4 linked regions of the Elephas maximus indicus genome follow. The protein of the gene in region 4 purifies or fractionates together with the protein of the main gene of each other region. This does not show direct contact. Links are inferred from orthologs where the notes say so. Each region holds a gene or a part of one and is shown on either strand. Other genes may lie near its edges. The genes, in order: CTTNBP2NL, SLMAP, CTTNBP2 and STK25.

The links.
Region 1: the proteins of STK25 (region 4) and CTTNBP2NL purify together in Homo sapiens (affinity purification with mass spectrometry; 6 studies listed by BioGRID and IntAct, counting the BioPlex papers as one, with this or other methods). This does not show direct contact. The link is inferred for Elephas maximus indicus from reciprocal best matches to the Homo sapiens genes STK25 and CTTNBP2NL.
Region 2: the proteins of STK25 (region 4) and SLMAP purify together in Homo sapiens (affinity purification with mass spectrometry; 5 studies listed by BioGRID and IntAct, with this or other methods). This does not show direct contact. The link is inferred for Elephas maximus indicus from reciprocal best matches to the Homo sapiens genes STK25 and SLMAP.
Region 3: the proteins of STK25 (region 4) and CTTNBP2 purify together in Homo sapiens (affinity purification with mass spectrometry; 3 studies listed by BioGRID and IntAct, with this or other methods). This does not show direct contact. The link is inferred for Elephas maximus indicus from reciprocal best matches to the Homo sapiens genes STK25 and CTTNBP2.

What each region holds. Positions count from the first base shown.
Region 1 is NC_064821.1:168,369,982-168,377,183, reverse strand, and holds the start of CTTNBP2NL (CTTNBP2 N-terminal-like protein), read left to right. Parts: upstream 1-4,196; 5' UTR 4,197-4,263; intron 4,264-7,202. UniProt on the Homo sapiens protein: Regulates lamellipodial actin dynamics in a CTTN-dependent manner. Associates with core striatin-interacting phosphatase and kinase (STRIPAK) complex to form CTTNBP2NL-STRIPAK complexes.
Region 2 is NC_064838.1:62,342,951-62,349,780, forward strand, and holds the start of SLMAP (sarcolemmal membrane-associated protein), read left to right. Parts: upstream 1-3,815; coding exon 3,816-4,013; intron 4,014-6,830. UniProt on the Homo sapiens protein: Associates with the striatin-interacting phosphatase and kinase (STRIPAK) core complex, forming the extended (SIKE1:SLMAP)STRIPAK complex.
Region 3 is NC_064826.1:31,757,494-31,764,837, forward strand, and holds the start of CTTNBP2 (cortactin-binding protein 2), read left to right. Parts: upstream 1-4,334; 5' UTR 4,335-4,422; coding exon 4,423-4,530; intron 4,531-7,344. UniProt on the Homo sapiens protein: Regulates the dendritic spine distribution of CTTN/cortactin in hippocampal neurons, and thus controls dendritic spinogenesis and dendritic spine maintenance.
Region 4 is NC_064824.1:143,370,596-143,378,358, reverse strand, and holds the start of STK25 (serine/threonine-protein kinase 25), read left to right. Parts: upstream 1-4,742; 5' UTR 4,743-4,853; exon of another isoform or gene 4,854-4,914; intron 4,915-5,041; 5' UTR 5,042-5,130; coding exon 5,131-5,160; intron 5,161-7,763. UniProt on the Homo sapiens protein: Oxidant stress-activated serine/threonine kinase that may play a role in the response to environmental stress.

The sequences.
Region 1 (7,202 bases), on a different chromosome or scaffold from region 4:
AGTAGAACTGCCCCATCAGGTTTCCAAGGAATGGCTGGTTAATTTGAACTACTGACCTTTTGGTTAGCAGCCATAGTTCTTAACCTCTGCACCACCACGGCTCCAATCTGTCCATAACCCATTGCCGACGAGTCCATTCCCATTCATAGCGACCCTATAGGACAGAGTACAACTGCCCCATTGAGTTTCCAAGGAGCACCTGGTGGATTCAAACTGCAGACATTTTGGTAAGCAGCTGTAGCACTTAACCACTATGCCACCAGGGTTTCCAATCTCTCCATAGAGTTTACTAAATTATTTTGTATAATCTCACTTGGATATTCACAGCCATCTGGTATAGGCAGAGACTATTATTCCATTTTTAAAATGAGGACATTGAGGTTCAGGTAAGTGCCCAAAACTCTCCTCTTCCTTACTAAGCCTTCACTGCTACTCACTATCCCTCTTCTCTTGCCTTCTCAAGTTTTAAAATCAAAATCATACATATAATCCCAAGAAGATTGCTACTCCACTCCAAGTATTATGTCAATGAATTTTTAAAATATTTGTTGCATTCTCCATTTCTTAACCCCTCTAGGCATAATGGAGAGATGATCACCAGAATCAGTTGCCATCAAGTCAGTTTCCACTCATAGTGACCCCCTGTGTTGCACAGTAGAACTGCCCCACAGCATTTTCATAGCTGCAAGCTTTCAGAAGCAGATCGTCAGGCCTTTCTTCCAAGGTACCTCTGGCTGGGTTCGAATCACCAACCTTTCAGTTAATAGCCAAGAACATAACCATTTGTGCCACCCAGAGTCTCCAGAGAGATGACAGACCATAGCAACTAAGAAGACAAACCTTGGATTCATATCTGAGTAAATATTCTGCATCAGTCGTTTATTATCTGAGATCATGGACCTCTTTGTGCCTCAATTTCCTCATCCATAAAATGGGAATATTAATGTCTATGGTACAGGATTCTTTTAAGGGTTAAATCAGGTGTATTAAGTAAAGCAATTTACACAGGGCCTGGCATATAGTAAAAGCTTGATAAATAGCATGTATAACTACCATATAATCATAGCACTGAATGATTTTTGGGAATTAGTCCATTATTTTTGTGTTATTTACCAATGAAGTTAAATAGAGGTAAGTGGGGAGACCACTTTGCCGAGAACTAGAACTCAGGATTTTTATTTACTATAAATTCCAGTCTTGCCCTCTTTTACATCATTGCCTCCCCAAACCAGCAATAAACATTTGTGGAACACCTACCTAGGAAGTTTACCTATTTGAAGAAAAACAGACACAATCTATAATCTTTCCACACTTCTTTACTAGGTTGTTGCCTGACACACAGTCATTTAATAAACATTTGCTGACAACTTGATAAAACATTAGATATGAAAAAGTTATATTTTGTTGTACAAATTTTAAGATATTATTATGAACTGAGTCTCTACCACTGTACGTGCCTTTGTACCAGACTCTAAATTTTTTTGTGCAAGTTTTATATACTGAAGAATCACAAAATCTCACAACCGTCTCCCAGTGCTGCCAACTGAAGGTCATGTAAGGTTCAGAAGCATCACCTATTCACTACCTCCAGGGGTGATGAATTTCAAAAGAAAACAATCTGAACACCCTCAGGATTCTGAATCCTGTCAGGTGCTGATGATCTCATTCTGCTGGGCCCTCCCATGCCCCTCAGGTATGCGCAAGAGGGAGCTCTGGGAGTCGGGAGAGCTGCCGATTACTATAAAGGAAGTAGGCTACAGGGCACCCTCTCTGGCTGGGAGTAGAAAGGGTGGTAGGGAGTTAACAGCTACAAAGGGAGGGAGGAAGGGACTGACTCACTAGGACAACTCAGAATGACTCAGAAGCCAGTAGCCTATTCTCCCACATCTGCCTCGTTGTGAGGCAATGAGGCACTTCCTTACACACCCATAGGCAGAGCAAAGGGGAGGAGGAGGAGAAAGAAATGGGATTTTATAAATTTGTGGGCCTATTCCAGCACCTAACGCTCTTGTTTTGTAACCACTTCAGACATTTTGTTTCAAGTCCAGTCAGTATTTACTGAGCATTTACTATGTGCCTGGCCCTTCATCTTGTTTTTCAGACTGTCAGTTTCCTAAACCCAGCCAAAATGTCTTTCTGAAATTCTGTATCTTCTTTGTTATTATTGGAAAAGCACTTGGGCTCCTGTTGTGAACCTTAGTACATAGTTTTTCTGTCCTTCGCCTATAGAGATGATGCTCTCAAAGCTACGATCAACAGGGGTAGACATGGAATTGTTTTTCTGGCTCTGATGCTGACTTTATAGTCATCCATGCCCATTCTCTGGCCTGTTCAGTTTTGTGAGAGCCAGTGCGTAGTGAGCAGAAAATGGCATAGGTCTGAAGTCATACGTCCTTGGTTGCAAGTCCTTTACCATTTACTAGCTCTATGACCTTGCTTGATTCTTCTAAATCTCTATTTTCTCATCTGTAAAATGGACACACTTGATGTCTCTCTTAGACGGTAGAATAGATTTATCATATACCCAAATCCAATTGCCATTGAGTCAATTCCAACTCATAGTGACCCTATAGGACAGAGTAGAACTGCCCCATAGGGTTTCCAAGGAGCACCTGGTAGATTCAAAATGCCGACCTTTTGGTTAGCAGCTGAACTCTTAACCACTGTGCCACCAGGGTTTCCAGATTTATCATAGTGATTAAATATTATGTGAAAGTACCTGGCACAGTGGTAACATGATAAATACGGGCTTATTTTCTTCAAACTTCACTATGATTGCTCAGGTGGATCAAATCCCTCCACCAGACTGTAAACTACATGAGGACATGGCTGCATCTGCCTTGAGAACTGTGTCTGCTTAGGTGAGGACTAGGCCCTAATATTGTCTTGTTTAATGACAACTACTAATTGTATTGTTATATGAAAAATAATGCGATGGTTATTATTTTAACCAGCTAAATCAATCTATGAGCTGGAGTGCAGTCTATGGAAAAGTGTTCTAGAAACTTTGACCTCCAGGAAGGATACAGCTAGGTCTACCATCATTCTCTCCCCTCTCTGGGCTATCTGGTCCTACCTAGGGCTTGCTGCTGAAGTCCTGGGTGGTGCAATTAATACTCGGTTGCTAACCAAGGTTGGAGGTTCACATCCACCCAGAGGCATCTCAGAAGAAAGGCCTGGTAATCTACCTCCAAAAAATCAGCCACTGAAAACCCTATGGGGCACAGTTCTACAAGAGGTCACCATGAGTAAGAGTCGTCTCAAGGGCACCTGGGTTTTTTAAGGCTTGCTATCATCAGCAAGATGTGTTCCTCTTGTTTCCACATGGAGGGCCAGACATGTATACTCTAGGCTGTCCATTGTTCCAACTTCACTGCAAACACCGTCATCCCATAGTATAATGGGGCGACCAACATGAAATTGTCTTCTCATCTGGCAAGCGTGGTGTGGAAACCTTGACACACAAATTTGCAATTATTAGACTTCTGCCTTGAAGGCAGCCTCCCCCATTCCTTCCCCTTTCGCCCTTGCCCCCAACCTGGTGGATAGTATACAGAGACAAGGCCTGGAAGGCAGGCAGGTCGGCTGGGTTTATGGCCCCTCTGGTACAATCCTATGACCCACTGCAGAATTTCCATAGCTAGCATCCTCTTCTACATATAATGTGAAGAGAGAAGGATGGTCTCCTGATATTTCATCTTTGTACCCTTGCTTCCAGCACACCTTCAGGCGCGTCCAAGGAAAAAAGCGGGAGCAGGGAAGCCACGTTACTGAGTTTTCAATAACCATTTCTAAAGCAGATACCAAAGCTTACTTTTCTAAACAATGTGGATGAAATCACACTCCGGACACCAGAAGCCCGCCATTCCTCAGCTTCCCCTACCACTAGGGCGAAGCATGAAGCCCTTGTCAGGGGCCTGTCCAGCAACGGTAAAGAAGCTGGAAAGCGGCAGGACCCAGACCCACCTTCGTGCGGGCCGGAGGAGGGTGCTTCCTACCGGAACTGACGTGAGCTCAATCCCAGCCCGGTTCTCCCCAAACAAAAGGGATCTTGGGGCTCCAGGAGGAGCCTAAATGACATTGGAGAAGCTCCTCCTCCAGCCAGTGTGGATTGGTGGCGGCGCTGAAGAGGCGAGGTGGTGATTGGCCAGAATGCATGCCAATGTCCCTTCCTGGCGGTTGAGGGGGTGGGGCCTCGGGGGCTGTGGATAGGGAGCGGGTGGCGGAGGCGGCCGGGAGCGGAGCCCGGAGCGCCGGGAAAAGGTAGGATCCCCTAATGCTGGGACTTGGTGACTGCTGGGAAACCGGGTTTCCGAGAGAAAAGCAAGGGTGGGACCCCGGTATCCTCCCGCACTGTCCCACTGCCTCTCGTGTACATCCCGGAGGGGGCGGGGCCGTCTCCTCCACCTCCCGGTATTCCCTGAGGAGGTGGCTGCTCATCCTTCGAGGGTCCTCACGGTTCCTTATTGTCCCCCGTCAGTTCCTCCCTCCTCAGAAAGGGCTTCCCTCCTGCTACCTCTCATTTAAAAGCCCTTCTCGCTCAGCGCTTCAACCTTGGAGGAGGGCTCGCCGGTTCCCATTCCCTACGCTGCCGCCCCCACTCCCATTTTGTACCCCGGGCAGCCAGACATCCCTCCCTACACCTGTCCCTGCTCGCTAGGGTGGGACCAGAGCTAGTATCGTTTGTAAGATAAAGTCAGTACATTTTAGAAAAGAGGGATGGGGCAAAGCAAAAATCAAAGACCCGACCTGGACAGCCAGCACCACGTACGAAGCGGCCCTCCCCCCCCTTCAGCTCTTCCCATCCTCCATTCTCGGATCCCCAGCCTTCTTCCAGCTGCCCGTCGGATTTGCTGTTCTGTGGCGAGTGGAGAGCTCCCCTGCTTCGGGAGTCAAGATGGACTTTTTTTAAGCTCTGGAGGAAGGAGAAATTACAACCCCCTCCCCCCATCTCAGTCTTTGTACCTTCTCTCTATTTTCTATTCCCAGCTTCAAAAGGTTTTCTAGCGTTGAGTTGTTCACTTTTGCCTTCCACCCTATTTCTTCCCTGAGAACTTGATGAAAAACCATCCTCTTGTATTTCACAGTGAGGTGGGTGTGTTGGCTATCTGCAGAATTGCCTTTGTGTGGGTAGGAATGCAGTGTGTATTGTTTGGCAACCAGTGAATAGCACAAGATTTAAGATGAAGCAGTATAGATAAGCAAATGAAAATATTTGGTCATAGGCATGAGTATCTCCTAGTCTATGGTGGGCTGGTTGTTGCTCAGGGAGACTGCACTTCACCTGGAAGGTATGGTTCTGTTGAAACAAAAGGCAGGAAGTGTTTGAAGAAAATTCAGGTTCAGACATTTAGGTTTATAAGTAATCTGGTCAGGTGGCCTTTGGTTACTCTCAACTACTCCATCTTTTATAGTGGGTTCCCCCCCTCCCCCAGGGAAAATGATACATATATGACATTGTTGACTGGTTTTACATGACCCATAGCATCTAACAAAAATATTAAAAAATATATATATATATAAAAAAAAATTTATAGGGGACAAAAAATAAGAGCAATTTTTAAGTCGCAGAGATGAGGGTAAATAAAGGCGAGGTAAGCTCCAGTTATTCACATGCCTCTGTAGTATGTTCATAAAGACTTTGTTAAGCTGTTCTTCATTTCAGCAGGGGCTAAGTATTGATGGCTTTTGGTCCAGTGTTAATGCCCCTGAATCCCCAGTAATCACCTATGGGTGCCTGTTACCAATTGCCGTCAAATGGACTCCAACTGACAGCAACCTTGTAGGACAGAGGAGAACTGCCCCGTACGGTTTCCTAGGCAGAAATCTCTACGGGAGCAGACTGCCACATCTTTCTCCCCTTGAACAGCTGGTGGGTTTAGACCTCTGACCTTTCTGTTAGCAGCTGAGCATTTAACCACTGTGCCACCGGGGCTCCTTACCGATGGATAGTGCTTTCATATATTAAAATTAACCATATATTAAGCAGTTTTCTTTTTTGCTTTCAATCAGAAGTCCCTCTCACTACTGTTACCTGTAAAAACCAAACCCATTGCCATCGAGTTGATTCCAATTCATAGCGACCCCACAGGACAGAGTAGAACTGCCCCACAGGGTTTCCAAGGAGCAGGAGCAACTGGTAGATTCCAAATGCTGACCTTTTGATTCGCAGCCAAACAGCCAAGCTCTTAACCACTGCACCACCAGGCCTCCTCTGTTATCTAGAGCCAAAGCTAATCTCAATAACATGCAAAGAGTTGAAATCATAGAGGGTGATTGTAGTGGCTGTTGTCTTTTACCTTCCTGATTAGACTTCCTGAAGGTAATTATTTTTAATAGTTAAGTTTCGAAGTTTTCAGAGCCACACTTGGTGCTCACAGATCTGTGTAGTGATTATTCCCAGATCTACAATAAGAAAGCATAAAAGAGAAGCTATGTGTGGGGTCTCCCCAGCTAACACAGCAATAGCAGTAGAAAAAACTAAAGCAGAACAGGAAACTCTAGAAAGATATATCTTGTTACATGAGCAGAGAACAGAAAATAAACTAAGAGACTAGAGAATCCAAAGTAGTGGTAATTGCCAGGGCCTTCACGGGCAGAGAAGAAAAAGTAAACAATGCTCTTCGATTATTTGGCACGATAATCAAGACCCGTTGGGTACACCCTGGTGGCACAGTGGTTAAGAGCTCAGCTGCTGACCAAAAGTTTGGCAGACTGAGTCCACCAGCTACTCCTTAGAAAACCTGTGGGGCAGTTCTACTCTGACCTATAGGGTCACTATGAGTCGGAATCGACTCAATGGCAATGAGTTTGGTTTTTGGTTTAGTTGGATAGACTTAAGTAATCTCTTATTTTTCGACACCTGTTTGGTCATGAAACCCTATGGGGCAGTTCTACTGTGTCCTATAGGGTCGCTATGAGTTGGAATCGATTCAACGGCAACGGGTTTTTTCGGTTTGGTTTGGTCATGAGGAGCCCTCGCAGCACAGCGGTTAAAGCACTCGACTGCAAACCAGAAGGTGGGTGGTTTGAACCCACCAGATGCTCCACAGGAGATAGATGTGGCAGACTGCTTCCATAAAGATTTACAGCCCTGGAAACCCTACGGGGTAGTTCTACTCTATTGACTCCAAGGCAGTGGGTTTGGTTTAGTCATGTTAGATGAAGAAAAGCATTGTATGCAGAGAAACTTTGTGTATATG
Region 2 (6,830 bases), on a different chromosome or scaffold from region 4:
AATTAAACTAACATTCAGTGAGTATCTACTTTTTTACAGGCACCATGCTGGATATTTTTTCTTGCATTATCTTATTTAATCCTAACAAGATTCTGGGAGGTATTTTGTGCTTTTTTTCAGATGAGGAAACTGAGACTTAATTACCATAGATAACAATGGTGGTGAATGGTGATGCCATGTCTGATTCTGAAAGTTTGACTTGGATTACTCGACTCTGGCCTTCTTGAAAGAAGATGGAAACATTCTGAAGTCTGCTGCATTGCTTGTAAGTCTTTCAGCAACTGAAACCACACTTCTGCCTGTCCCTACCCCTCCCTGACCTTACCTTGCCCCTTAGGCTTCAGTAATACAGTACTTGTAATTGCCTTTAGATTCTGTTCTCTCAAGTCTCTGGGACTTTTTTGATGTTTTCTTGCCTAAAATTTCTTTATCCCACTACTACCAGACTACCTGGACTACTCCTACTTGTTTTTCAAGTCTCCGTTTAAACAACTATTGCTCCATGCTCTCATTACTCCTCATGCTTTCCATTATAGCAAGGACGTTATTGTGCCATCATCTAAGTTATGCTGATTTCCAGGGGCTTTCAAAGTATCTGTCCCCCAAGCCTGTTGCCATTGAGTCGATTCCAACTCATAGCCACCCTATCTGTCTCCCAGTAGGCATTTATAGAATTTATAGAATGAATGAATGAAAGAATGCATAACTGATTTATATATTCATGCACAGAACTCATTAGGGATTTGTAGAGAGGTCTATCTTATTTTATTCCATATAAGCCTAAAAGTTGTAAGAAATGAAAACTTTTCATCCTCCTAAGTTAAAGCTTTACAATGTATCCTTACTATCTACAAAATAAAGTCCCAGAATACACTAGTAGTTCAATACACATTTGTTTAATTGATGAAGATTCTTAGAGAAGTATATAAGGTCTTTGTAACCTAATGTCTATTTTTCTCTCCAGAATTGCTCTGTGGCACTCCTCCTTTATCCTCTAATAATGAGTAACAGTATGTTATTTTCATTTGTGCAAATATTAATTGAGTCACTACTGTACGCCAGGCGCACTGGTGCACTGTTTCAAACAGGCTTGTTCCTTTTCTTGCTGTTCTATTTTCCTGGACATGTTATGAACGCATCCAACAAATACCGTATTTATTGCGGTTTTCCTATGTTTCTATATTCAGTTCAGTTACCTCCTCCAGAAGCCCTTCCCTAATCCCTGTCGCATCCAGTGCTTGCCTCTATTTTAGCCCTGATTACATCAAAGTGAATTTTATCTGTACCTGTTTATCATCACTGGCCCTACTCCTGTCCCACAATACCGCGTGTAATCTCCAAGGGCGGGGTTGCACCTGTGTGTACGCAAGGTCCAGCACAGAATCTAGGACAAGACCAAAACTCTGTCTACAAGAATTGGAAAAAATAATAGTTACTCTTTATTAAGCAATATATTTTATCACCTAGAATTCTTGGAACAGTTAAGTATTATTGTTTTCACGTTACAGATAAGAAAATGAGGCTCGGAGGCTTTAGAAACTTGCCCAGGATCATGCGGTGGTGGAGCGTGTATCACGGGCATCTGAAGAATGAAGCCGCCATTGATTCTAAAAGACCTAAGACTCCTTCCCTGCATCTTTTCTTAAAATTTTACTTTAGATTTTGCCGTAATTCCCTCTTTAGACCAATGGCTCCTCGTTTACCTTAATATTGTGAGCAGAGCAATATCCTTTCTTTTCATATTAGAAATCGTTCGACCTTTCTCAGGAAGCAAGGTGATTTTAAACTTTCTGAAGTCTTACTCTTTGGGGGTAGAATGCAACGGAGTACAAGGGGACATAATAGGCCCAGTGCTAGAACAAAACAAAAAAACGAGCATTCGAACTGAGTGCAGGGACTAGAAGTTTTTCCGAAGGCGAGGAACGCTGCTAAGAATTCAGGAGAAGAAGGACAGCCCCTCTGATGTTAGGTGCACAAATTCTGACGCTTGTGGGAGTTTGGCTGCTCACACATAGGGCGACTGGTGGGGGAGGAGAGGACCGTATCGCCCATAGCTAAAATGGCTGCTAATGAACATCTCCTTTGGATAAGTCTGTTCTCTTCCATCCTTGGTATTTTCAACAGACCTATAGTAAGTAAAATTTAGTAAAAGTTCGTTCCTTCGTACTTAGAAGGTAAAAGAAAACGTTGGCACGTTTTGTTTAAAAAATCTTCACCCCCTCAAATTCCTCTTTGCCCTTAACCAAAATGGTCGTCCAGGTTGTACCACGGTTTGAAGCTTGCAGCCCTTAACTAAGATGGCGTCCAGAGGCGCGTAAAAAACAGCTTGCCCTCTTCTTTGCCCTCGACCAACATGGCTACCACGGCGGTGTCCACGTGACGTCCCCGGACTACGGCGCGGGAGAGGGGGTAGGAGGGCCTTTGAAGGGTGCGCGCTCCCGCGGTGGTGCACCGGGTAGGTTTCAGTCAGAGTCACTATGGCGGCCGGCGCTGGCAAGGTAAGCTGAGGCGGCGGCGGCGGCGGCAGCGGGAAAGGGAGAGGCAGGACCTGTCGTGGCGTCCAGGCTCCGAACCTCCGTGGCCCGTCCATGGAAAGGCCGGCCGGGGTTGTGGCCAGCCGCGGAGACTGGCGTGAGGCGGGCTGAGGGGGGCGAGGGCTGAGGCAGGCGGGCACCGGCGCCTGACGGCCGTTTGTTTTGGTATTTCCTCCACCAGGTCGGAAAGTTTCCTGCCTCGTCGGGCACAGCCTGAGCGTGCCCCGCGGGCCGCGAGTGCTGGAGGTTGCGGCGGACCCAGCCTGGGGCCTCCAGGCCTCTCCCCCAACCCCAGGGCCAGCCTCCCTCCCCCACCTCCTCGTCCGCTGGGAGCTGCGCCTGTCGTCCCTGCGATGCGACCCTCGCGGGGGCGACCCTGAGGGCAGGCGGCCCGTGTGCTGAGCAGCGACCAGGAGTCCCGACGTCCGGGGACCAACTTCCCGCCGGCCGGGACCCCCTCGTCTCCCGGGGTCGCGGGGTCGCGCCTCGCTCGGTCCGCACCGCCTGCGGAGCCGGATCCCCGCCCTGGTCGCGGGGACGCCCGCCAGGTGCCCGGGAACCCCGGCCCGGCCACTGCCCGCGCCCCCGCCGGTTCCCGCGCCCAGGTCCCCCTCCGCCGCCCCCTCGGCTGGTGCCAGGCCGGGGACCCCACGCCCCCTCCCGGGGCGGCCTCCGCGGAGCAGGGCAATGCGGACCGTCCCCCTGGCCGCCTAGACCCTCTCGTCGCCCCTCACTGCTCCACCCGCGAGGTCCCCGAGAACGGGCAGTGGCTGCCCAGAGGTGCTCGGCGACACCTTTCTTCGGCGCGAAGGGACCTTCCTGGCCGCACCGAGCCGACACTTCCTTCATGCTGCAGTGCTGCAACGTTTCCGCCTCCGAGGGGGAAAAGCGGCCGCGATCCCAAACAAAACACAAGAATTGGTGTGTGACTCATCTGCTTGGATACCTCCAGTCCCCAAACTGTCTTCCAGGAGTTTTCTTGGCCGAAGCTGTCCGATGTTTGAGCCGTTTCTTCCCAGGGAAGAAGATGGATTGAAAGCTGCCAGTTGGGGACTTTTTGTGGCCAGGTTGGGTTTTAAAGGAGGTGATGGCGCTTGCGCTGGCTTATCTCTCCACCCAAGTGAAGAGTTGTTGATGTGCCCTGGTTATGCTTAGACAATGCACAGTTTGCTTTAATTTAAAAATTTTCTGGGGGATAGGGCTAGAGGCTTGTGAAGGGCAGTCCGGATCCGGAGGAGCTCCTCTTTGTCCCTGGTAGGAGAGACACCCAGTCTGTCCTCGATGCCGTCAGCCTTGGCCATCTTCACTTGCCGTCCAAACTCGCACCCGTTTCAGGAGCGTCATGTCTACCTGGACGAGCCCATCAAAATCGGCCGCTCGGTGGCCCGCTGTCGACCAGCGCAGAATAACGCCACCTTTGACTGCAAAGTGCTGTCAAGGAACCACGCACTCGTCTGGTTTGACCACAAGACGGGCAAGGTAATGTCACCACGTTGGCTAACAGTCTTCACTTCTTGCTCCCCTTTGCTCTCTGTGAGAGGCATTCTGTGTGTAGGATTCCCAGGGTTTGCACCCAGAGGACTTGCAGCAAGACCACGGAATCAACTTTTTGGTGTGCCTGATTCTAGTGGAAATTTAATGGAGGTGGTTGAATGGAAAACAGAGTAGGTATTGTAAATAAATGCCTCGGGAGACCAATGGCATCTTGATAACATGGTCATTCCCAGTGAAATCCCAAACCCTAATTCGTTTCGGAAAACTAGATAGTGAAACTTGGCATCTCGCTTTCGGGCTTTTTAGAAAGGTGAATTTGCAGTTCAGTGCTTGATTAAGCAAGCAGCAGTTCCCAGAGCAATGCGGGAATCTGTGGCCAGTATTTCTCGGGAGCTCAGGTGTCTCAGTGGTGACCTGTACTGAACACATGGCTTTCAGCTGAGTTCTAGTCAGGGCCTTTCTAGCAAGGGCAATTGCCTGTGTAAACAGACTTACTGTTTGGAAAGACTAGATATGTATTTGCCCCTGACAGAGTAATTCACAGTAATCAAAGCTAATTTAATTAAGTATAAAGACCTGTAACTTTACATTTTCAGAGTTTTGTTTACAAGTTGGGCGATCCTATATGCACATTGCTTTCGCAGATCGCTTTTGGTGTTCCCTGGAACCCCTTTCCTTAAGAATACTTCATGCATACACTCAGAGGTAAAATTTAAAATTCAGTGTCAGGAAATTAACTGTTTTATTTTTTGAAATTACATACAGTTCTATCAGTTATTGCATTATTTAGTTGTGATAAAAAATTAATTGCTCTTCATTTTAAGTGTGACCATTCGATGTTAACTCCTTAATTTATTATACATTTGGGTGTTTTTAAGAATACAAAGAAAAGATTATGTAAGACCCTTTCAGTTTTTAAAACTCTGCGTGTAGAGAGCATATTAAAGAGCTCAATCTTGTACTTAAATTTGATGTTTTAGATGAGCTACTGACTCAGTTCCAACTTAAATTTACATAAGATTAATAGAACTATCTCGGGTTTCATCTCCTGATTTTTCCTCCTTTCTTGAGTTAAATGATTAAGTTTTTCTTAAAAGAAGAATTTAAATCTTTCCAAGAGTAGTGTTTTGAAATGAAAAACAAAACAAAACCCCGAGCCTCAAAGGGAGAGACAAAACACACTTTTGCAGTTATTGAATTGTGGAGTTATTATATAAATAATTAAAAAAAAAAGAGAAAGATTGTCAAAGTGCTATGTGCTTGCGTAATACCTGAACCCTACTCTGTGTGTAGGGTAAGAACTGAAAAGTATGTTAATTTTTCTGTGTAACACCAGATGCTCATTTACCTGTGTAAGGGACCCTTTTTATCTCCCTGAAAGCTAAAATTTGGGTGCCTTAGAGACTTTGTAGATTACCCATAATCCTTTAAAATGACTATTCACAGAATTCATTTTTCCAGCAATGTAATTCAAAGATCAGTTAACTACTAGTGCCTTAACTAGCTTTTACTTGTCTTTTGTGTCCCTGGGCAACCATTTGGGTCCAGCCTAATCAGATAACAGGTTTCCTCACAGTGCATTCTCTGCAAAGGTAATTTCTTTTTTTCTTTACTTTCATCCAGCACCCAAAGGAGACTCAAATTTTTTTCTTTTACCGATTTGAGAAATAGTGATTACCTGAACAGTGTACTAAAGCCCTCACAATAGCTTAGTTTGAGATGATTAGGAATATATGAATAGTGAATGCTTAGCGTGTGAATTGAGATGGCATGTTAAAATTTTGAACAAAATTTGTTTTTAGAAGAACTTATCTTTAAAGGATACACTTGGTTTATTTCTATTATTTTCACTTTTCTTTATTAGCTAAACTATACTCAGGATCCAAGGCTGCTACTCTAGGTGTACATATTATTATTGGTTATTGTACCACCCAGTCTAATGAAAAATGAGCAGTCAATTCTTGCCATGTGATCAAATTCTTTTAGGAATTAACTATTTAAAATTTAGGTTTCATCAGAGAGTAGGTTTTTGTCAACCATCTAGTACGTGCCAGATGCTGTGAGGTACACAGTTCTAAAGAAGACAGTTTGACCAAATATCACTTATTATTTTCTCTGTGTGAAATACCCAGTTTGAGGATTTCTGCTACAGTTGTCTCATAACAAAAGATTATGTTAACAGAAGTCTCTGGGTCTAATATGTATTCCCAGCAAATGCGTTTATATAGCAGGAAAATATCTCCTTCTATAAGCATCACTGCAGACAACTTTTTTTTTTTTTTAAAGTCTCTAAGCATTAATTTTTTTTTTTTTTAAGCATTAGTTTTCCTGTCTGGTGATAAGCATACTGTTGTTTTGAGTTTAAGGTAATCAATTTCTTAGCACCCTATACCTGGCCCTTAAGCCCAATACTTGGAGGGAGGGGAAATCATTTAGGCAGCTCTTTGCAGTTTGCTATGGTGCTCTTCAATCTTAGGAAGGTAATGAGAAATTATCTGTGTGTGTGGGTGATGGCATATGTAGAAATAATTTTTAAATTACAAACAAATGAAGTTGAGAACTTTGTCCAAATTGCCACTTTTGGACAATGGAAAGTAGAAGGTTGGGAAGTGGAAAATTAGAGTAATACGCTTTTTTGTTGACTTTCATTTGTGGGTGACTGTTGAATTCCATATTGGTCATCATGGGAGACTCATTAGAAGCTGGAAAAAGTAATAAACCCTTGAAACTTCCTGATTATCCAAGTGATATATGTTCATTGTAGAAAATTTGTGAAATGTAAAGAAGCAGATGAAAATCTAG
Region 3 (7,344 bases), on a different chromosome or scaffold from region 4:
CGGTGCCGTCCAGTCAATTTCGACTCATAGCGATCCTGTAGGGAATTCTTTTCCTCCTGATTGTATTTCCATCTCTCTTCTTTTACCCTGCCTTTCAGAAATTTTCACTCTAGCCCTGGGATTTTTTTTTTTTTTCTGTTTATTTAGCTGTTTAACGAAGCTTCAAAAGATTTAATTCCTGGAGCCATCAAATCAGTACCCTTGCAGATCTGTTTGGTTCGACTCTAATAGAGCCTGTCTTTGTGCAAAGAATGTCTTTCACAAAGAGTTAATTTGCAATCTCAACAGAGATTAATTCTCAGGAGGGAATTTAAACTTGGAGTGTCCCAGGGGAGAAGCAGCTTCAAGGTTGGGCTATTCTGTGAGGGAGTTAACTCCTTATGCGCTGCTTCTGAGCAATGAGGCCAGCTGCTCAGTCAACACCCGGCAACAGTGGCAGCTTTAAGGTAGAAACAAATACTGTTTATTCTCCTTCCCAGGTCCTGGATTTTGGCAGTAGGAAAATATGCTATTCTGTGATTTTTTTTCACCTGTTTATTTTTCATTTCACACACACACACACAAAAGGCGGTGGGGTGGGGGAGAGGGGAAAGAATTCACTCAGGGATCTACTTGATTATGACTTGATTGTATTTTGATTGTATTTAGACTTACATTGTTAGGTGCCATCGAGTGGATTTGCCCCACAGAGTTTTCTAGGCTGTAATCTTTAAGGTAGAAGATGGCCAGGGCTTTCCACCTGCAGAGCGCAGAACGGCTGGCTAGTGGGTTGGAACCAAAGACCTTTTTGTTAGCCACCAAGCACTTAACCATTGCACCACCAGAGCTCCTTATTTTGACTAATAAACAAAAAACCAAACCTGTTGTTAGACTCATAGCGACCCTATAGGACAGAGTAGAACTGCCCCAAAGCGTTTCCAAGGAGCAGCTGGTGGATTCAAACTGCAGATCTTTTGGTTAGCAGCTAAGCTCTTAACTACTGGGTCACTGCAGAAGCTATTTATTCACAACATTTTTTTTTTTTTTAAATTGATCTGCATGTATAAAATAAACGGGATTTGCTTCACAGAGAAATTATCATGTCATATTCCTAGTGCTTAAACCTAAGTGAAATTTGTTATTTTATTCCCCAGTGGTGAGCCAGTTAATTTCTTAATTTAATGCCAATATTAAGGAAATTTATTGCCTTGTGATGTGTGAAAATGCATTTTGAAAAGAACAAGGAATACTTTTGTTCCAACTTTAAATTTTACTATCAACATCTAGCTTTTTTTTTTTTTTAACTTATAGGTTTATTTTTCTTACATAACAAGAATTCTAGAACTAAGCGACTTCTGGAGTCCCTTTAGCTGTTCCATGATGCCACAGGCTATATCTGTTTGGCTCCACCATCTTTAACATTGCCTTTTTTTAATCTCCATGTCTGTTGCCTCTGGTTGCAAGTTGGTTACTGCGCATTTAGGCATCACATCCACATTTTAGGCAGGAAGAATGGGAAAGGTGAAGGGTAAAGCCAGCTGCCTCTCCTTTTTATCATATGCAATGATTTTCAACACCAGATTTATCGTATCTTCAATTTACAAATATTCTTGGTTTCATTTCTTGACCATTTATTTAGTTCATCTGAAGCAAATATTAGTTTTAATTATTGTAGCTTTATAATGTATTTTGATGTCTATTTAAAGCAATTCTTTTGTCCTTTTTTGAGTATTTTTAGAATTTTTGAATTGTACTTTAGATGAAGGTTTACAGAGCAGATTCTCATTAAACAATTAATACACATATTGTTTTGTGACATTGGTTGCCAACCCCGTGACATGTCAACACTCTCCCCTTCTCAACTTTGGGTTCCCCATTATCAAGTCTCCTGTCTCCTCCTGCCTTCTCATCCTCGCTCCCGGGTTGGTGTGCCCATTTAGTCTCATTTTATGTGCCTGTCTATCTAAACTTTGGCTGAAGGGTGAGCCTCATGAGTGACTTCATAACTGAGCTATAAGGGTTTCAGGGGGCCATACTTTAGGGGCTTCTCCAGTCTCTGTCAAACCAGTAAGTCTGTTCTTTTTTGTGTGTGTGTGAGTTAGAATTTAGTTCTATGTTTTTCTCCAGTTCTATCAGAGACTATTGTGATCACTGTCAGAGCAGTTGGTGGTGGTAGCTGGGCAACATCTGCTTGTGCTAAACTCAGTCTGGTGGAGGCTATGGTAGTTGTCGTCCATTAGTTCTTCGGACTAATCTTTTCCCTTGTGTCTTTGGTTTTCTTCATTCTCCCTTGCTCCAACAGGAGCATGCTTTTAAGACTCCAGATGCTACTCACCAAAGTAGAACGTAGAACATTTCCTTTGTAAACTATGTTATGCCAATTGAGCTAGATGTTCCCCAAGACCATGGTCCCCACAGCCCTCAGCCCAGCAATTCAGTCCCTCAGGAAGTTTGGATGTGCCCATGGAGCTTCCATGACCTTGCCTCATACAAGCTGTGTTGTGTACTGTCTTACCCTTCTCCAAAGTTAACTACTTATCTATTGTCTATTTGGTGTTTTTCCATCCCCCACTCCTCCCCTCCCCCATAACCATCAAAGATTGTTTCTTTTTGTGTGTAAACCTTATGATTTTTTAGAGTAATGGTCTCAGACAATATTTGTCCTTTTGTAATTGACTTATTTCACTCAGCATAAATGCCCTCCGGATTCACCCATGTTGTGAGATCAGGGTCCAACTTTTATTGTCAAATGCTTTGCTTTCATCTTGTAAGTAGCTTGATTATTCTAATATTGAGTAATTTCAGAGAGAATAGTTGATAAAAGAAAACAGTGTAATGAACGGGAATGGACACTAAAGAACTAAGAAAGGGGGTAGCTGTGAGAGTAAAGTCAAAGAAAATAAATCAACCAGCACCTCTGCTTACAGGATAACTCAGAGGTGACTTCCAGGCCTCTGACCCTTAACCCCAGGATTCCAGGTGAAAGTTCTCTCTTGATGTAGCTGTCTTCTGGGAGAGAACTTTCCACAGTTAACCCATAGACTGATTTTTAAATTAAAGGGAAGCTAGGTAGAAGAATGGTATTTGTCATTATAATTGTTGCTTATCTAATGATTTAAATCAACCCCATTCAGGGTCTTCAAAGGAAAGATTTTCTCTGTCCTGATTTGTGTCTTATTTGGATCCAGTTTTGAAAATGGAGCAATTAAAGTGCCAAAACCTTTCATTAGGAGTCTGCCATTTAAAAAAATGAGCTTTTATCTGTAGCCCTTGAATTGAACATTCCATGTCATTCGTCTTCCTGAATTTCAAGTTTAGGATTTGGTTTTCGCTTCATTTTACGTCCTTGAGACACAGTTTGAATGCTGCGACTTGATTTTGTGCTTTCAAGACAGTTTTAGGGATCTGGTGATTTGAGAAGGGCTGGTACCATATGGTCTTGAGAAGGTGATAGATTTTCACATCCTGGGAACTGGCAGAAAAGGGTAGGAACTGAATCAGATGAAAGGAAGGGAAAATAGAGTTTGAGCCTAAGTCACTCATCTCATGAAAAACCTGAGACCTATAATTCCCATGAAGTCAATTTTTAAAAGGATTTTTTTAGTACGTGTACTTGCGTATTCTTACTTGCGTATTCTCTCTGAAAGTAGAGAGCTTCCTTTTAAAAGAGATGACATTTAACACTTCTTGGTTAGTCCTTTAGAAAAGACTTCAGTCATGGAGTCAAAGAACAGCAATGGGCCCCGCGCCACCCTCCCTGAAAAGGAGATTTTACAGAAAGATGAGAACTGAGGGACTGGGGCACAATGTAATAAAAGCGGACACATTATTCATTTTGATTTGTGAATTTAGTTAATGGTTTTCGTAGAAGGAAGGGGTAAAAGCACCCTGGCAGCAGTGTTGAAAAACCAAAAAACCTGGAATTTAAGAAAAAAGAAAAGAGTATCTTATGTCCTTCCTAGCGGTGGGATAGATGGGCATGGAGCGAAGGGTTTCCTTGATCTTACAGAAAATTAAGATTTAGGAAGCCCGACATTTCATCCGGTCTCTCCAGGGTCGGCTTCGTGGGGCTTGGCCGGTCGTATCACATCTTGAGCTCTTTCTCTCCTTCATCTCGCCCGGTGTCTTTCGGATTCCCCCATCTGCGGGAAGGACCAGCCCCGGGCCCGGGCTTGTGCCCTCTTCTCGGACCTCGACGCACCGGATGGCCCAGGGGCTGGGCGAGGCGGCGGGCGGCGCGGCCCCCCGGGGGCGGGCGCCCGGGCGCGCGGGCCCCGGCGCGCAGCGGGTTAAGGCGGCGGGGGCGGCGGGAGGGAGGCGGAGCGCGGCCGGGCCCGAACGCCGCGCCGCCGGCCAGCAGCGGGTTAAGTGCCGCCCGCGCGGAGAGGGCTGAGCCGGGCGCCGCCGCTTCGAGCTCGCATTCGGATCCGCTAGCGCAGGAAGATGGCGACGGACGGCGCGAGCTGCGAACCCGACTTCTCCCGCGCCTCGGAGGACGCGGCGGAGGCTACGGCGGAGGCTACGGCGGAGGCAGCGGTAACCGAGTTCCCGGTGCGGGCGCGCTGCGAGTGTAGACGCGGGCCCAGGCGCAGCTCCAAGTCCCCTGGGCGCTCCGCAGTCCGGGCCCCCTGGGGGCGCCCCCTCCTCAAGCTGCCCCACGGCCGGAGGCCGCCCAAGCTGGGGACGCCTCCTGCCCGTTCCGAGTCTCCAGGGAAATAGCACCGGCCTCCGGGTTCTTGGCGCTCCATGCGTGCGCCCCGCCCTCCTCGCGACCCCGACGCCGGTGCCGCGGTGGTCGGGTTTGGCCTGGGGGTGTTTGCTGGCGAACTTGACCCCCCATTGTTCGCCTCTAGCTGCACGCGTGGCTGTGAGCGTGCGTCTCGGGGTGCCTGGCACGTCTCAGCAGACCTAGGAAACAGCGAGGGGGGGTGCGGGTCGCCGCCGAGCAGGTGTGGGGATGCCTATTGTGTGTCTGTGCGCCTTTGGGGGGCCCCTGGGGAGGGACCGGTGCCCAGCTGTGGGCGCTGTCGCCGCGAAGCGCCGGCGACTTTGGTCTTAGCAGCCCCCTCACTGGGGAGGCGGGGGGTCATCGCGTTCTTCCGAGGCGATGCCCGGGCGAGGTGGAGGGTCATCACCGAGTATCATAGACATTGTTCTCCTTCGCTGGGTTCTAGACGCCAAATGCGCTACCATCCATCCCTGGTCCCCACTTTCAATCCCTAAATATTCCTGTGCACAGAAACTCGCTGGTGGGTTCCAGCCCCTACCTGGGGGAGGGTTGGTTCCCCGTCCAGGGTGGAAAATGTGCTCAGGGTTTGAGAAGCGGCTTCGCTGGAGCTGCGAGGATCTGCAAAGAAAGGCGGTCCCGGGAGCGCCTCCCACCCTTGGCCCACTCCCGCTGGAGACCGCGGTGGGATAGAGTGAGCCGAGGGTGGACGCCCCCTCCGGCCTTGCCACTACCCGATCGGAGTCGGTGCGCGAGCAGCAGAGGGCAGGGCCAGGCGTAAACAGCCAGGGCTGCTTTAACTTCCTCCTCCTCCCTGGGTTTGGAGGTAGGGCTTTTGGAGAGGGAGAGATGGGGAGGAAGGTACTTGGGGGTGAGAGGAGCTGAGCTTGGGAAGGAATAGAGAAAGAGGGGGTGGAGGGGGGAGAAAAACGGAGGAGGAGGGCTGTTGATTTGCACTTGTGAAACTGGCAAGTTTTGATTTGCAGCTTTTAGGAAAATTTATTTTGTTTTTTCATTTCTTGCGTGGAAAATGAGAACTTAAGATTTCAAGTGAAACCTGCCCACTTGTGATACTGTGAATCCCCCCGCCCCCCGCGAGGTACAATAAGGAAGCTAGCTGTTAAGGCAAGCCTCTCTGGGAAGTTTAAATGATTGGGTGTCTTCCTCCCCAGGAGATGATGACGAGAGGCACTGACTGGGAGGAGAAAGAAAGAGGTCTTGTGTGTGTTTCTTGTTCCCCAGGAAGGTTACATTTGTATGTTTAATTTGTTTAGAATGGGCCTTTTTTCTACTGCCCTCAGTGTTTTAATCACCTCCTTACAATTAAACCAAACACAAACATCTGGTTTATGGTCTGTAGCTGATGATGTAGTTTTATTTGGTTAGACTGTAGAGAGTCTTGGTCGTGGGGCAGATTTCGTGTTAACAAGGTCAGGGTTCCGTCTCTGCTGTGTAAAATTTTCAGAAGTCTGATTCTCACTACTGAACTTCGGGGATTTGATCATTCACCTGTGATAATGGGAACAGCCATGGAAAATAGGAAAGCCGACCTCTTGTTATTTCCACAGAATCCTTTAGGGTCCCAAGATGCAATAAGGATTCTTAATATAGTAGCTTTTTTAAACTTTTGGCTGTTTAGTAAAATTTTGACAGTGACTTCTTAGGCTGTAAACTGACCATTTTATTTTTTCCAAAAAGCTTTGACTTCGTAAGGTAGGATCCTGTCCTATCAGCCACTTTGACCTATAGGCTGATTTTTACATTAAAGAAAAGCTGGGTAGAGGCATGGTATTTGTTATTATAACTGCTCCTTACCTAATGATTAAAAATCAAAGGCATTTTTATGCATCTTGGGGTTTTGGCAACTGATGGCTTAAAACAATTTTTGGGTATTTTTAGTGAACAATTCTTTTTTTTGGTATTTTAGCGATTTGATTCATTTCAAATCTGCTTGTATATTCATTTTTATATATACATTTGGCAATAACGAGCCAATGGAACCTCCAAAGCAGTAGGCTATTTTTGAAAGTGAGTGTTTTCACTAAGTTTTGACTATTTAGATTGTTGCTTAGAAACAAGTTTAATTTATAGTTTCATAGTTTTCAGTTTAATATGATTTTTAGTGACATGTTTTAAATTTAGTTTGTGGTCCTCGTTCTTAGCTGTTTAAATCCTGAAGGCATCCCAAGTGTAAAGCTACATTATTCAGTAGGCTCATATAAATAGTCTTTGCTATGAACCATGCTGGGAGACCTGGGTTATTTTCAGTGCCTTAGCCAAATGTGATGACTTTTATAGGCCATATTGCTATTTCTACTCTGAAAATAAGCCCTAATGGATAAGGCAGTATGGAAAACAGAAATCTTCCTGCTTTTTATTGTCATCAGGGAATTTTGGAGTGAAAGGAAAATGGAGGTCTTTTTAGAGCTGTGTTTGGGAAGCCAACCAACATTCTTGCCATTCTGGGTTTTCTGGGGCAGTTAATATGCAAAAAGTAGGAATAAATTTTGTCACGGTGATTGTGACAAGGAAAAACTTGGACAGTGATTTTTGTTAAAAATATGCAACAGCGATGTTAAAATAACAGCTGGCACTTTGAAATTTTTGTTTTCCAGGTGACAGTATTAAATGTAAATGCA
Region 4 (7,763 bases):
CAGGATTTATTGTTCCCATTTAAAAGCAAAGAATTTTAATTCAGTTAGATTAAGTGATTTGCTCAAAGTCACAGGACTGGTACCTGCCTGCTCCAAAGCCCAGGGGGTGACGGGGTGACGTGTGCGGGGTAGGGAAGGGGAGAGAGTCTGGGAACTGAGACTCAGAATCTGCTCTGCGTGGGGACCTGGAGCAGGCCACCTACCCCCTCTGGGCTAAATGAAGGGGTTGGGTGGCATGTGGCTGCAGCCTGGAGCCTACCTTCGTCTCAGACCAGGGGTGGCTGCTGGAAGGCCCAGTCTGCTGCCTCTCACAAAGGAGGTTTATGTCCTGGATGTGTGTGACCACCCACGGTTTCTGTCCTGCTACTGTGTGAACATGCTTTCCAGCATCCACAGCTCACTGATGCTCTTCCCATTTTAAAAAATTCTTTTTTCTTTGTTTTGTGTATTTCCATTGCTGTGTGTTCACATTCACTAATCTTTTCTTCTGCAGTGTCTCATGTGCTGTGAATACCATCTTGTGTACCCTTCATCTCACACGCATTGCAGTTTCATCTCTAGAAATCAGATTTGGGTCTTTTTTTTTTTTTTCATGTCTCTACTTAACTTTTGAATGTATAAGTTATAGTAACTTTTAATATCCATGTCTGTTAATGAGTGAACAAATCCATCTTGGAAGAAGTACAGCCAGAAAGCTCCTTAGAAGCCAGAATGGGGAGACTTTGTCTCACATATTTTGGACATGTTATTAGGAGGGACCAGTCCCTGGAGAAGGACATCATGTCTGGTAAAGTAGAGGGTCAGTGAGAGAGAGGAAGACCCTCAGCGAGGTGGACTGACACAGTGGCTGCAACAATGGGCTCAAACATAACAGAGATTGTGACGATGGCACAGGACTGGGCAGTGTTTTGTTCTGTTGTGCGTGGGGTCACTATGGGCAGGAACTGACTTGATGGTACCTAACAACAACTGTTAATTCTAACACCTGTGTTAGCTCTGGGGTGTTTTTGATTGGTTGACTTTAGTTCTCAATGTGGACCACATGACCCGGCTTCTTTGCATGCCTGGACATTTGCCTTGCTAGGTGTTGGATATTTTTGTATTCTTATTTTTTTTTCTTTATAAACATTCCTGAGCTTTGCTGTGGGTGCAGTTGAGGTACTTGGAAGCAGTGAGATTCTTTCAGGTCCTGCTCTAGGATTTGTGAGGCAGGACCACAGCAGTGTTTAGTTGAGGGCTAATTACTCCTAACAGGATTCTAGGTAAAATAAAGACCATCCAGTCAAATTTAAATTTCAGATAATAACAATTTGTAATGTTTTAGTACAGGTATATCCCTTTTAACACCTGGGACGTAGTTATACTAAAGTGTTCTTTGTTGTTTGTCTGGCATTCAAATAACTCGGCATCCTGTTATCATTTGCTAACCCTGGCAATGCTAATGCCACTGAGGCAAGATTTCCCTGAGTATTCTACCCACTGCCCTGTGAATTATGAGGTTGTCCAGTCTGTCTGTAAAAATGGTGTAGTGCAGGCATCTAACCACCTCTAAATTTCACAAGGGGGAAGGAGAATCAAGATCAACAAACCAAGGCTGATTGCTTTGAGGTAGAAGTCAGACGCACCTCCTCTTGCCAGGCTTTTTACTAATTCTGACACGAACTGTCCTCCCTACTTGGTACTCCCTACTTCCCTGCTGGGTTCAGTTGTAGCAATGGCCATATAGAACTCACAGACCATACTCACAGTTATGGGGTTTATTAGGGAAGTAACGCATTACAATTCAGGTTCACTCAGGATACAGTTCTTCCATCAGGACAGCCTCTCCTCTGCCAGGCTGCAGGCACACCTCTCTCTGGCCCCTCGGCCTCTGGGGCAACTGTTATAAAGCTTTTTTAGCTCTGCCATAAGTGCCTAGAGGTACCCTGCCCCACTGGTAAGCCCTGTGCCCGAAGGTGCTCAGTTTTCTCGCTCTGTGGGCCAGTAAGCTCCCCATGCTTCCTCCTGGTTCTGCTGCCGCCGTTTCTCTGCTGCCGCTTCTCACCGTCTCTCACCATCTCCAGTGTTAGCGCTGTCCCTCTCTGTCCTGGTTCTGCTGCCTCTGTCTTCAGTGCTATAGCTTCTCTCTCTCTCTCTCTCCCCTGTCTCCTCTTTAAGCCTAGGGGATGGCAAAACTGACCAATCCCCTCATTAGGACTCCAGACACCATATTTGCATGGTCCCTCCCCCCCCCAAGGGTGCAGTACACCTTATTTACATTACTAGCAAGCTATCCAATCCCCTTGGTGGGCCACAAGCACCTCATTTGCATAGTCCTCACCCAGTCATTTGGTGCGAGTTACAAAGACTATGGCTAAAACCCCAGTAACATTGAGTCAATTCTGACTCACAGCAACCCTATAGGACAAAGTAGAACTGCCCCAAAGGGTTTCCAAGGTGCACCTAGTGGATTCGAACTGCCGACCTTTTGGTTAGCAGCCATACCTCTTAACCCCTACGCCACCAGGGTTTCTAGACTATAGCTAGAAGGGCCACATTAAGTAATTCACTGCACCACAGGCTGGTGGGGACAGACACTACTCCTTTGACTTGAGCATGGGGCACCTCTAATACCTTCAAACGGTTCTTTTCCAGTTTGGGGTTGTTTCCTCACAGTCGGGCGCAGATCACTACTGCTGGATACTCAAGGGGCTTCCTGCACATCTGTAGAGTTCTCTCCTGTCTCTCTGTCCTGCTAAGTCTAACCACCACCACCTCCTGGACTCTCAACTCTGATCCTCAACCCCAGGCTCCCCTTGGGTTCCCCCTCTTTCAACTGCAGTTTGGTAACTCTCTGCAAGCAGTAAACACACCTCTTGTTTTGTCACGAGGAGCCACTGAGCTTTGTTATCTAGTGTCATTGTCTTGAAAAGCATTGTTTCATGTATCTTGCCATTTATCAATTACCTATCTATCACCAATCTATCAATCAATCAATCACCTATCTATATCCATATATCTTTCGGTTGTTTCCAGCAGGAGGGAAATCTGACCTCTGTTATTCCACTTGGCCAGACACAGAGATCGGTTTTACCTTTTTTAAAGGAAAAGTCAGACGGTTGTTTGCTATCAGCTTTATCGAGATCTAATTCATACATCATAAAATTCACCGTTTTAAAGTGTCCAGGTGCAGACAAGTGGGGTCCTGTTGGGAAGGGGAGACAGTCCTGGTACAGGAGGGGGGTCCAGGGTGCGGGAGGGGTCCAGGGTGCAGGAGGGGGGGTCCAGGGTGCGGACGCGGGGTCCAGGATGCAGGAGGGGGGTCCAGGGTGCGGGGGGGGGTCCAGGGTGCGGGAGGGGGGTCCAGGGTGCGGGAAGGGGGTCCAGGGTGCGGGAGGGGGGTCCAGGGTGCGGACGTGGGGTCCAGGGTGCGGGAGGGGTGTCCAGGGTGCGGAGGGGGGGTCCAGGGTGCGGGAGGGGGGGTCCAGGGTGCGGGAGGGGGGGTCCAGGGTGCGGGAGGGGGGGTCCAGGGTGCGGGAGGGGGGGTCCAGGGTGCGGGAGGGGGGGTCCAGGGTGCGGGAGGGGGGGTCCAGGGTGCGGGAGGGGGGGTCCAGGGTGCGGGAGGGGGGGTCCAGGGTGCGGGAGGGGGGGTCCAGGGTGCGGGAGGGGGGGTCCAGGGTGCGGACGCGGGGTCCAGGGTGCGGACGCGGGGTCCAGGGTGCGGACGCGGGGTCCAGGGTGCGGACGCGGGGTCCAGGGTGCGGACGCGGGGTCCAGGGTGCGGACGTGGGGTCCAGGGTGCGGGAGGAGTGTCCAGGGTGCGGGAGGGGTGTCCAGGGTGCGGACGCGGGGTCCAGGGTGCGGGAGGGGGGTCCAGGGTGCGGACGCGGGGTCCAGGGTGCGGACGCGGGGGGGTCCAGGGTGCGGACGCGGGGGGGTCCAGGGTGCGGACGCGGGGGGGTCCAGGGTGCGGACGCGGGGGGGTCCAGGGTGCGGACGCGGGGGGGTCCAGGGTGCGGACGCGGGGGGGTCCAGGGTGCGGACGCGGGGGGGTCCAGGGTGCGGACGCGGGGGGGTCCAGGGTGCGGACGCGGGGGGGTCCAGGGTGCGGACGCGGGGGGGTCCAGGGTGCGGACGCGGGGGGGTCCAGGGTGCGGACGCGGGGGGGTCCAGGGTGCGGGAGGGGGGTCCAGGGTGCGGGAGGGGGGGTCCAGGGTGCGGGAGGGGGGGTCCAGGGTGCGGGAGGGGGGGTCCAGGGTGCGGGAGGGGGGGGTCCAGGGTGCGGGAGGGGGGGTCCAGGGTGCGGACGCGGGGTCCAGGGTGCGGCCGGCCGGGCAGCGGAGGTGGGGAGCCTGGGCGGGAAGGGCGAGGCCGCCGCGGCCGCCCCCGGGATCCGGTCCAGCTCCGGCTGGGGAGCGGAACGGGCGCGGCCGGGCGCCTTACAAGGCCGGGGGGCGCGCTCCGGGCCAAACGCGACGCCCGACGCGCCGACGCACCGACGCGCCGACGCCCAGACGCGCTGATGCCCGTCGCAGGCCACGCCCCCGCCGTCACGACACCGCCCACCCGCCCCGCGACCTGCCGGGACTTGTAGTCCACTGCGGCTCACGGCGAAGGACTCCAAGCCCCAGCGAGCCGTGCGGCGGGCCTGCTCTCCCCGTCTGCCTTTCCACCCCGCGGCCTGCCGGGACTTGTAGTTTAGCTTGCACGGCGACGGGGCGCGGGCCGAGTGGCGGGACTCTGTTTCCCAGAGAGCCTCGGGCCGGGCCACGACGCCGCCGCCACTGCCGCTGTCTCCGCCGGGCTTTCTCCGGCGCCGCCACTGCCTCTGCTTCGCGGGCTCGGGGCGGCTTCCCGGAGATCAGGGGCTGCGGGTGGGGCCTCCGCGGGCACAACGGAGCGGGCCGGGGGAGGCCGGGATGGAGCCCCCCGGAGGTGGGCCGCTGCCGGGCGGGGCGGCGCCGGGGCGGTTGGGGGTCAGGGGCCCGGGGCTGGGGGCGGCCGGGAGGAAGGTCGCCGGGGGCGGAGGCCGGACAGCGCGAGCGGCTTGCTGTCCCCGCAGTGGACTGAAGCGGCGGCCGGCCCGGAGCTGAGGCGGATCCCGGCGCCTCGTTGGGCTGCGGACGGATGGTGTGACGGCCGCGGGCAGACATGGCTCACCTCAGGGGATTTGCCAACCAGGTATGGGGCGGCCGCCTGGGTGGTGCGTGCGCGCGTCTGTGCAGCCCAGAAGGGGAGTGCACGTGAGCAGGTGTGCGCCCCAGACGGGAGTGCGCGTGAGCAGGTGTGCGCCCCAGACGGGAGTGCGCGTGAGCAGGTGTGCGCCCCAGACGAGAGTGCATGCGTGTGTGCAGCCCAGACGAGAGTGTGTGCGAGTGTGTACGCACGTGTGCGCCCTAGACAGGAGTATGTGTGTGCGTGGATGTGTACCCAGATGAAAGTGTGTGAGCATGTGTGTACCCAGGCAAAAGTGCATGTGTGTGGGTGTGCGCCCCAGATGGGAGTGCGTGTGAGTGGGTGTGCACCCCAGACGAGAGTGCATGAGTGCATGTGCATGTGTGGGTGTGTGCCCCCAGGCAAGTGAGTTTGTGAGTGTGGGTGTGCACCCCAGACGAGCATGTGTGTGTGTGCACGCCTGTGTGTGCCCAGATGAGTGTGTGAGTGTGCATGTGGGGATGTGCATCCTAGATAAGTGTACATGTGAGTGTGTGTGTGTGTGCGGGTGTGTGCCCCCAGATGAGAGTCTGAGCACGTGTGCATGGGTGTACACCCCAGACAAGCATGTGTAGGTGTGTGCCTGCGTGTGCCTCCAGACAAGGTTGTGTGTGTGTGTGTTGAGTATGCACCCCAGACAAGCGTGCATGAGTGTGTGCACCCCCAGACCAGTGTATGAGTGTGCATGCATGGGTGTGCACCCCAGATGAGCGTGCATATGAGTGCATTTGCAGGTGTGTGCCCCAATACGAGTGAGTTTGAGCATGTGTGCATGGCTGTGCATCCCAGATGGACGTGTGTGTAAGTGTGTGCATGTGTGGATGTGCACCCCAGACATGCAGATATATGTGTGCATGCAGGGGTGTGCACCCCCGATGAGTACGAGTATGTACATGAGCGGGTGTGCACCCCAATGAATGCACATATGAGCGTGTGTGTGCACAGTGTGCACCCCCAGAGAGCACTGACTGCTGAGTCTGGGAGGGGTGAGGACCCAGGTACATTTTGCTTGTGTCCCTGAGGGCTTGCCAGAGGGACATGGGTCTGGGTGTGGAGGAGAGGTTCATGGTGAACCCTGTGGCAGGGTCTGTGGGTGGCTCAGACCTGGGGAGACTATTCCATGTACACGCCTTTGTGTGACATAAGCTCTGAGTGTCTTAAAATAGAGCCAGTGGCTCTCTGCGGTTTAGAGAGCAGTGTGGGAGGAGACGCTTTATCTGGGGACGGGGTGCGCCCTCAGGGCTGGGCGGGGCTGGGCACTGGGTGGGGATCCTTTGGGAAACTGGACCTCAGCATCAAGTGAAGTCAGAGGTCAGCATCCATAGGGAGCCTGGGCCTGACCTGCAGTCATCTGGCCATGTTGTGGTCATCTGGCCACGCTGTGGTCATTGGGGCACATTGTGGTCATCTGGCCATGTTGTGGTCATTGGGGCATGTTGTGGTCATCGGGGCACGTTGTGGTTATCTGGCCACATTGTGGTCATCGGGCCACATTGTGGTCATCGGGCCATGTTATGGCGTGGCGGGAGGCAGGGCTAGTACACAGCAGTTTGTGTAGGGAGAACCCTGATAGGTCCTGAGAGGAGCGGGGCTTGACCAGGTGGTCCTTGTGTAAGCATTGGTGCATAGGGAAGACAGGACACGCCTGCGTGCATGTGTGTTTGTGTGCGGATGTGTGTACACATGTGTTCCTTGAGGGAGAGTAGTGAAGAGAAGGCCGCTCTGCAGAGCCGCTAACCAGGCTCGGCGTTTTTCTCTTTTGATTGTTCTTCTCTCACCTCGAGCCACCTTGAGAGTCTAGCATTGCTGTCTGGGAAGTGGCCATCCAACGGCCCACCCCACTGAGTGCCCTGCGTCCAGCCGCTGGTGCTGAGGAGCGTGCGGGGACTGGAGGGCTTGGGCAAGGATGACAGTGGAACAGAGGGAGCCCGTGGTGGCTGTCGTGTTGACTTCATCCTCGCTGATTGGTCTTGTTCTTCTCGACTCGGGGCAAGTTTTTCCGGCTGTGCTTCTTAAAAGTGCAGCCCCCGATGTGTGCTGGGCCAGGGACCGGCGGGAGAAACTGGGAGAATGTCCACGTGGCACAGAAGCTGGAGTCCCAGCTCAGCTCCGGACTCTGTGGGACCTGCCTGAAACCCGCGATGCCAGGGTGGGGCACAGTTGCCGGGCAGGGGATCCTGGACCATTGTGGCCCAGCTGGGGTGTGTAGCTAACGCTGAGTCAAGCCAGCAGAGTCAGGATTTGTCTTTGACGCTCCACGTCTGACAAATGGCCTGATTAAAGATGCTAAGTGGGACAACCCAGCCTCCTCGGGGCATCTTCGTGCCGTGATAGAAGGAGGTGGACGATGTCCTCCGAGTGACAGAGGGTGCAAGCTCAGGGCACCAGCCAGATTTGCTGAGTCACCCCGGGGCTTCGCGGGGTGGGGGCTGCGTGGCGTGGGCAGACCTGTGGGTGGTTTGGTGGGATGCCCCTGAGGGCCCTGAGTGAGCATGATATTCTCACTTCCAGGTGCTGAGAAAGCCCCGATGCCAGTGGGGGGGACCAGTGGAGGGGCCGGCAGGGGTGTC